Linked DNA regions of Cricetulus griseus. The protein of the gene in region 1 binds, or shares a complex with, the protein of each later gene. Links are inferred from orthologs where the notes say so. Each region holds a gene or a part of one and is shown in the gene's direction. Other genes may lie near its edges.

The links. The genes of interacting proteins can lie anywhere in the genome.
Region 2: Gtf2a1 (region 1) and Polr2c share a complex: the UniProt entries of both Homo sapiens proteins name them as parts of the TBP-based Pol II pre-initiation complex. The link is inferred for Cricetulus griseus from reciprocal best matches to the Homo sapiens genes GTF2A1 and POLR2C.

What each region holds. Positions count from the first base shown.
Region 1 is NC_048598.1:113,312,153-113,316,303, forward strand, and holds the start of Gtf2a1 (transcription initiation factor IIA subunit 1), read left to right. Parts: upstream 1-1,312; 5' UTR 1,313-1,733; coding exon 1,734-1,763; intron 1,764-4,151. UniProt on the Homo sapiens protein: TFIIA is a component of the transcription machinery of RNA polymerase II and plays an important role in transcriptional activation. TFIIA in a complex with TBP mediates transcriptional activity.
Region 2 is NC_048596.1:171,079,486-171,083,601, forward strand, and holds the start of Polr2c (DNA-directed RNA polymerase II subunit RPB3), read left to right. Parts: upstream 1-1,296; 5' UTR 1,297-1,368; coding exon 1,369-1,454; intron 1,455-1,551; coding exon 1,552-1,601; intron 1,602-4,116. UniProt on the Homo sapiens protein: Core component of RNA polymerase II (Pol II), a DNA-dependent RNA polymerase which synthesizes mRNA precursors and many functional non-coding RNAs using the four ribonucleoside triphosphates as substrates.

The sequences.
Region 1 (4,151 bases):
CGAGGTCACAAGCAGGCTATACATTTTACTTGCTCTGCTAGTCTTTTGATATTCACATACTGGCTTCACGGAATAGTATGACGTAGCTCGATTAGATCTGCTTTTTGAATATAAACTTCACACTTTCACATTACATTTTATTTGTTCTCAAGTCCCTGGGACCAGGAAAAGTGTCACTTAAATTCTGCCCACCGAACAGGAGTCTGTTCTGTGAACTACTGATACCGAGGCAGGATTTGGTTGGATGTCAAGGGTCATCTGCTGATAATTGCATGCTAAGATAGAAGCAGAATCTGCCTGATCTCTTGTTAAGTGACAGGCCAGGCAAGTTGGTGAGTCAGGGGCATGGATTTCAGATGTGGTTAGTCACCATGTGCTGGCCAATGTGCAAATCCCTTTACTTTGCTAACGTGACAGAACAGAAGCGGTTAAGATTGACGGGTGGTCCACACTCGGGTGGGTTGTATCCGAGTTCGTTTTCCTTTTTCGTCCTTTCCACCACACTAAGAAGTCATTTAGGGAACCTGGGATGGTAGAGGCTGAATCTCTGGGGGGGGGGGGTACTTACGGTAAACCAAACCACTTTATAGCCTAAATCTGTAGAGACAAACAGCTCAAAACGCCTTCAGGAGTTCCTAATTCCGGAACGTGGAGAGCGTAATGAGCACAAAGCTTTCATCTCCTTGCCACTTGCACACAACTTCGCAGACCGCTCTGTCCTTCGCAAGAGGCGCCAACTTCCTCCCCGTTTGACCTGGGCTCACGAATCCAAAGATGACTCCGCATTTAAAACTGTCCCAAGCCCCAGCGCGCGGGGGCCCGGAAGCGGGACCTCGTGACGCGCCCTCCCTCCCTTCCTCCCTCTAAAGAGTCCGCCGCCCCCTAGGCTACTCCATCCAGCGGCGTCGGGCGCCCACCCGAAGCCGTGTTAGGTACCCCCAAATTCTTGACTGGGTGGCGGACACTAACTCAACCAGCCTCCTCCGTTCCCACCTCCCGGCCACCTCGCTCCCGGCACACCACCGCGGGCCGCTTCCGCCCGTGTGCCGACCACGTGATCACGCGAGACTCGGGCGGGGCGGAGGGAAAAGAAAAAAAAAAAGGCGGCGGCTCGCCTTCTTTTACTCTAGTCCCCGCGGCCCCGCCCACCGGCCCCAGCCCCCGGGGCGAGCGACGCCCCGGCGCGCGTGCGCACGCGGCTCTCGCGGTGTCTCGCGCTCGGCCCCGCCCCCCGCTGCCCCGCCCTTTCCGCCCCTCCGCCTCCGCCCTGTGTCTCGGCGGCAGCGGCGGCGGCGGCGGCGGCTCGCGCAGCTTGTTGGCTCGCTATATAAAGGGGAGAAGCAGGCGGACCGGACGGCTGGAGCTGCAGCCGGTGGCGGCAGCGGCGGCGGCGGCGGCGCTGGGAGCGGTGACCGGTGTTGGTTTCCCTCCGCGGCGCCGAGTGGGGAGCGGGCGACGCCCCCTAACCCCCGAGGGGTCGTGGCTTCTTCTTTTTTTTTTTTTTTTTCTTTTCCTGAGGGCGATTCTCGAGGCTTTTAGCCGCGGGAGGAGTTGCCCCCCCTCCTCCTGCTCTCCCGCCTCTTGACTCCCTCAGGATCGGTTTTGTTGAACAAATTTTCGCCCCACTCTTGCGGGTGACTTGGGTCACCCTCCGGGTCTCTTTTTAAGTTTTTTTTTTTAATTTTTTTTTTTTTTTTAAATCTCGTTCCCTCTTGTTTGTGTTGTGTGTGGAAATGGCGAACTCGGCAAACACAAACACCGTGGTAAGGACGTGGTGCGGTGGCCGGCGGGGGCTGCGAAGGTTCCGGCGGCAGGCAACGGCCGGGGCGGGCGGGGGCGGGCCGGGCGAGGCGGCGCTCCCCACCCGGTTCCCTCCGTCCTCCTCCGCCTCTGCCGCTGCCGCCGCGGGCCTGACCGGGCGGGGGGCGCCGAGGGCTGGCGGGCGGAGGGCGGCGGGGCCGGGAGCGCCGCGGGGGCGGGCCACGCAGGCCGTTGGGCCCTGGCTGCCGACCCCGGGGCGAGGACAGGTGGGCGGCGACCCCCACGCGGGGCCCGGACCCGGCCAGCCCCCGAGCGGAGCGGCCGTGGGTCGGTCGATCCCCCCCCCACGAGCCTGGGGAGCCAGCCGCTCGGACGCTGCCAAGTTCGGCGTGCCTTCGGGGGCTCTCTGGAGGTGGTGCTTTGGAAAGCCTGCGCTGGGGCCGATTTTGCTAATCCTACCCCCCAAAAAAAAACCAGAGGAAAAAAAAAATGAAGGTTGGAAAGCACTTATCTCGGTTCCTCCCCAGTGGGTAAAATGGCGAAGGGGAAGCAAAAAGAAAAAAAAAAAGAAAAAGAAAAAAAACCCGTGGTACCTACGACTAGCAAAAGCACCAGAACAAACAAAGCCTTACAGTGACTGGCCCAAGTGTCCACGCATTCGCCTTGAAATTTGCCTACTTCTTCCCGCCGCTCCCTTTTTTGGTTCCTTGCGATCCACGTAGGTTTGCAAAAAGCAGTCACATAAAGAAATAACCTTTTCAATAGTCACCAACGCAGTGTGATCACTAGGCCACCCCCAACTTGATTTTTTTTAATTATGAAAATAAAACACGTGTTTTTGTTTTATTCTTTTGTTTCTTTTTTTTTTTAATTTTTTTGCCCGGTCCCAAACGCCGCAGAGCAGCTCGCTGCTGCCCGACACCGTACCGTTGGCGACTCGGGTAGATCCATCATGGCTGCGGCCGCTTACCCTGCATTTCAGTGCCTGCGCCTTGTGGTCCTCCTCCCTTTGGCTGCCCTGTTTATATAGAGCCATTGCCGCTCTCTAATATAGACTCTGCCAGGATGGGAAGGTGCTTTTCAGGCCTACGTCACCGCCTCTCCATTTAAACACCAGATCCGGCTTTAAATAGTGAGAGCTGCTGAGCGCGGGGCTGGGAGGTGCGTGCTCCCGAGCGAGAGGCGCCCGCATGCGGAGCTCAATTTATTTCTAGGTTCCCTTCACGCCGAAATTTCGCTTCCGAGCCGGGAAGCTGCTTTCTCGAATCCGCGAGTGTTATTACTGTAACAGCTAGGATATGCCGCCTTTGTTTGTAGTGGGAAGTAGGTCAGAATTGCTGCAGCGTTTTGGCCTTAAAAAAACAAAACAAAACAAACAAAAACCCTTTATATAGAGAGTTTAATGGTAAACCATTTTAGGTGACATAGGGTGATTGTTCTTTTTATCTTCCTTGAAGAGGTGCCTTCAACATTCTCGGCTTATATATATATGTATATGTATATGTATTATTTAAAATGTTTCTCCCGCAGAGGACTTGGGCTTGGCAGTGTTTTGTTCATCAGGTATCCAGGAAATGTTAGAAATCACAGCTTGTAACATTTCATCGTGTTTTCTTAATACAAATCCCCAAGGCACAAAGCTTTTCAAAGAAATAGTGACAGACGCTTACGTGTGAGATCTTATGCCCACAATACATTGAAGTGGAGAGGCATGCCCTGAATTGGATTTTAAGAATTAAAGGTCAGGTGGTGGTTTTAATTGTACCAGGTTAACATGGGGTCCAGCATAAAAATCCACCCCATTTACTTAATACTGTGCTAGAAAATTAGTATTTCCTAAAAGGAACCCTTCAGTGAATCACTGATGATGCCACATGTGGCCTCTCATTTGCTGGTTTCAAAGTTTGGGATACTGTGTTTTGAAAGGACAGATCTAAATGACTTTTATGCAATAAAGACAAAAACTGGCTCAATTTTAGAATTGAAGCATTTCCCTTTTTTCTTTCAACCACAGTGAAACCCGGTTTGTACCTAAGTGTTTGAATCTCTAAGGAGAAGATTTTGGGGGAACTGATTTCTGAAACATGAAAACATCTGTTCTCTTGGAAAAATGTCCTACCAAGTTAAAATTAATATGCCCCGTGTACAGTTTAGTGGAGTGGCTTGAAGGGCTGGGGACAGACAGACAGACAGACAGACAGACAGACAGACAGACACACACACACACACACACACACACAAGTTTTGTATCACTAAATACTGATGAGGCTGCTGGGGATCAGCAGGAACTGACTAGTGAACAAAAAGTTCCCCATGTATGAAATTGGAAAGGGTATGAGATCAGGCAGGGGTTAAACCAAGCATGGGTAGTAGGGACCAGACATGATCAT
Region 2 (4,116 bases), on another chromosome or scaffold:
TTGTTACACACACATTCCTAATACATGAATACAACCTGTTCAATTCTTGTAATGTTACCTGTATTTATATGATCCTGGGGCTTTTGATATTATATTGGATAACCCATTGCAGGGCTCTTCCCTGAGGAAGGTTATTTCTACCACTTTCAGCATCCCCCGGTTCTTTGTGTAGGGTTGAGATCCCTCTCCCTTCCATGTTAACATGTCCATTGGCGTCGTTGTTCAAGCCTCATTTAGGCAGTAATGTTGGTGAGACTTGATGTGTGTAGCCTTTGTAACATTTCTAGGAGACACAATCTCACGGCAAACGTAACGTTCCTCTGGTTCTTACAGTCATTCCACTCCTCCTTCCTCAAGGATCCCTGAGCCTTGGGTGTTGAATTAGCTGCAGATGTATCAGTTGAGACTGAGCACACAACAGTCTCTTGTTCTCTGCAATTTTAACTGGTTGTGGGTTTTTTTGTTGTTGTTGTTCTTGATGTTTTGTTTTTGTAATGGTCTCCATCCTTTGCAAAGAAAAATTTCTTTGATGAGAGGTAAGAACTGTATTATCTTCACATGGTTCCCCTGAGAATCTTTAGAACCTTGATCCTTCTTCCAGAAACCAGCAGATGCCCCCTCAAACAAATGTGTCAAATTGCCATCTCTCTTTCACATTAGTAAGAGAAGCCCTCTTACTACTGGTCAAATGTCTCCTTGCTTCATATAGTTTCAGAGGCTTAGTTCATTATCATCATGGCAGCATGGAGCATGGCAGCATGCATGGTGCTGGAGAAGTAGCTGAGAGCTGTTTACATCCAGATCCAAGAATAACAGGCATAGAATATTTTTTAAATTATTTATGTATACGGGTGTCTTGCTTGCATGTATGTCTGTGCACCATGTGCATACCTCGTGCCTTCATGCCAGGAGAGGGCATCAGATCCCCAGAAACTGGGGTTAAAGGCATTAGTCGCCATTCGGGCGCTGGGAATCCAATCCAAGTCTTACAGAAAAGCAGCCGGTGCTCTTAACCATTGAGCCCCATATGTATGTATGTTTAACCAAGTCTCCATCCATCATTACCTAATGAGTTATTCTTAGCAATTACAAGTAAGTAGCACTGGTATGAATAACCCTGTACATGTACCTTTGACCTTTGTGCTATATATCTTGGGGATTCCAAGAGTGTAGGGCCTGGTGCTTTTTGGAAGCAGAAATTTTGGAGAGTGTGGTTAGAAAACGCAGACCAGGAGAGTTTCGGCCTCCGGTCAGCAGGTGGCGCTGCGCGCACGCCTAGCCGGAAGCGCCAGGGACCCCGCCGACAAATTGCTGGTGGCGGCGCAGGCGCGCTGCGGGACTGGCTCGGGAGACTGGCTGCGGGTCGCAATGCCGTACGCCAACCAGCCAACCGTGCGGATCACGGAACTCACCGAAGAGAACGTCAAATTCATCATCGAGAACACGGACCTGGCGTAAGGCGGCGGGAAAGAGGCGGGCGGGCGGGTCCTCTGGCCCCCTGCGGGGCTGTGGCTTCGGGGCCGCTCACACGGTCTGGCTTTCCTCCTGTAGGGTGGCCAATTCCATTCGGAGGGTCTTCATCGCCGAGGTGCCCATAATAGGTATGCGACCCTCCCCCGGGGCCCCTGCCGCTGCCCCTCGGCCCCAGGCGGGGGGCTGAGAACACTGCGGTGCTGCACGCTGGGCTGGGGCCGCCGGGGCCAGCAAGCCTTGGTGCGCGCCTTGCTCGGCAGTGTGGATCCCAGCACAGTTCTGACTACCCGAAAGCAACAGATAAATTAAGACTAAGCACTACCAAAGAGCTGAGAGCTGCGGCCTCCTTATCCATAGGATGTAGACGCTAGGACTCGTTAACAGATGATACCCGGGATTACCGAAGTCGTGTAGATATCGCGCCTTTACTTTTAAGTCAGTGTTGGATTTGGGTGTCTTTTGAAAACGTATGTTAATTGTACATAATAACGGGCTTCGTTAGGACATTTTCACGGACCCCCCCCCCCCCAGTACTTGAATTGTATTCATTTCCCCATCCTTTCCTTTTATTCCCCTACTACTGTTGTCTCCCGGCCTTCTTGATAGTACCCTGCAATATTTTCTTGTCTCTGACTCTCTCTTCTCTAAAACATATTTATTTACGTATATATGCATGTGTGGAGGTTGTACAGCTTGTGGGAGGGATTGAACTCAAGTCTTGACAAGTAAGTGCCTTTACCCTGCTGATCCATCTCGCAGCCTGGAACTCTATTTAAAAGACTTATTTATTATGTATACAGTGTCCTGCCTGCAGGCCTTAAGAGGGCACCAGATCTCATTATAGATGGTTGTGAGCCACCATGTAGTTGCTAGGAATTGAACTCAGGATCTCTGGAAGAACAACCAGTGCTCTTAACCTATGAGCCATCTCTCCAGCCCCGAATTCTCCCTTCTTAAAAGTTGAGATTCAAAAAATAAATAAAAATAAAAATTTAAAAAAGTTGAGATTCCGCATGAGAGAAAGCATGTTTATTTTTATGACTTCTTCCTGCAAATGACATACTTTTGTTTTTTTATGGTTGAATAATACTCTGTGTGTGTTTGTAATACCACTTTTTAAAAAGTCTCTTTTTAAAAAATGGATCTCTTACTTCCTCTGCATGTGTAGATCATGTACATTCCAAGCTAGGTGTAGAGACAAGACATGGGCAAACACAAGGCAAAAAATGACAGGTGTCTTGGGGGGTTTTCATCAGGTTTTCTTTTTTCTTTTTTTTTTTTTTGTTTTTTTTTTTTTTTGAGAGAGACAGACAGACAGTGGAAGGAAGGAAGGAAGGAAGGAAGGAAGGAAGGGAGGGAGGGAGCTCAAAAGGAGGGAGTGGCAGCATCTGTAGACACACAAGGTTTTTAGAGGCTAGGAGTTTTCACCTGCCAGGGTGTGGGAGGGTGGGGAGGTAGAATAAAGGCATGGGAAAGCTTGGATGTGTGCCCTTGCTTGGGTTGAGGAAGTACTGCAGGGCAGAGCAGGTTGAGCCTATCATTGTCTGGTCTTCTGACCTCTTTTCCATGTGTCCATGCCGGTTATTTGAGAACTGGGCTCTAACACCATTTGGTTTCTGAATTTCATTGTTTACATGCAGGTGTTTGCTTATGAATGACTAGGTACATATTTAAGTGAAGCCTCTGTAAGCACATAGTCTTATTCTGCGAGCAATGAAATGGGAGGGATTGGGTTTTATTGTTAGTATTTGCTTCCTATTGAAGATGTTCAGTGAACAGCCACTGATGAGAGTAACACTGAAATTCTAAGGGGTGATCTGGTTATTTCATAAAATGAGATGTGGATCACAGCAGTGTTGCTTCTATGATGTTTTCCCTAACTTTAAATTTTTAAATTATTTTTAATTATGTCTCTGTGTGTGGGTCTGTGCAGGTGGAGGCAGGTGCTAGAGGAGACTAGGGGGTCTCAGATTCCCCTGGAGCTGGAGTTCCAAGCAGTTGTGAGCCACCTGCCATGGGTGCTGGGAACCTCTTAACCACTGAGCCATCCCTCCAACCCATGTTTCCCCCAACTTCTAAGTGCCCAAATAGCTTTTGTTCTTGGATATGATAGTAACAGAATATAGCAGATTTAAAGTGCTCTTTGGGGAAATATTCAATTCCCTAATTATTACACTCCTAAAATACTCTCTAAGTGAATGTTTATTTTTATGGTACCAGTAAGCCCTATACCCAATTCACTGGAGGCAGCACGGTGTTAGGTATGGTGTGTATGTGTGTGTGGTTTGTTTAAATTGGCTGCCTGAACCTCGAGCTAGCCCTGTGGAGGCAGTCTGTGGCAGCCTGGCCTGGATACCATCAACCCTAAAAACAGTGATTCTTTTCTTTCTTTTATAAATTTGGTTGGTTGGTTGGGTTGGTTTTTTTTGGGGGGGTGGGGTGGGGTGTTTGGTTGGTTGGCTGGTTGGTTGGTTGGTTAGTTGGTTTTTTTTTTTTCAGGACAAGGTTTCTCTTGTAGCCCTGGTTGTCCTAGAATTCACAGAGTTCTGCCTGACTCTGCCTTCCAAGTGCTGATCACTAAGTAATACTTAAGTCTTGAGAACAGGGCTGTATGTCTGGAGATGCTGGAGGATGTCAGATTCT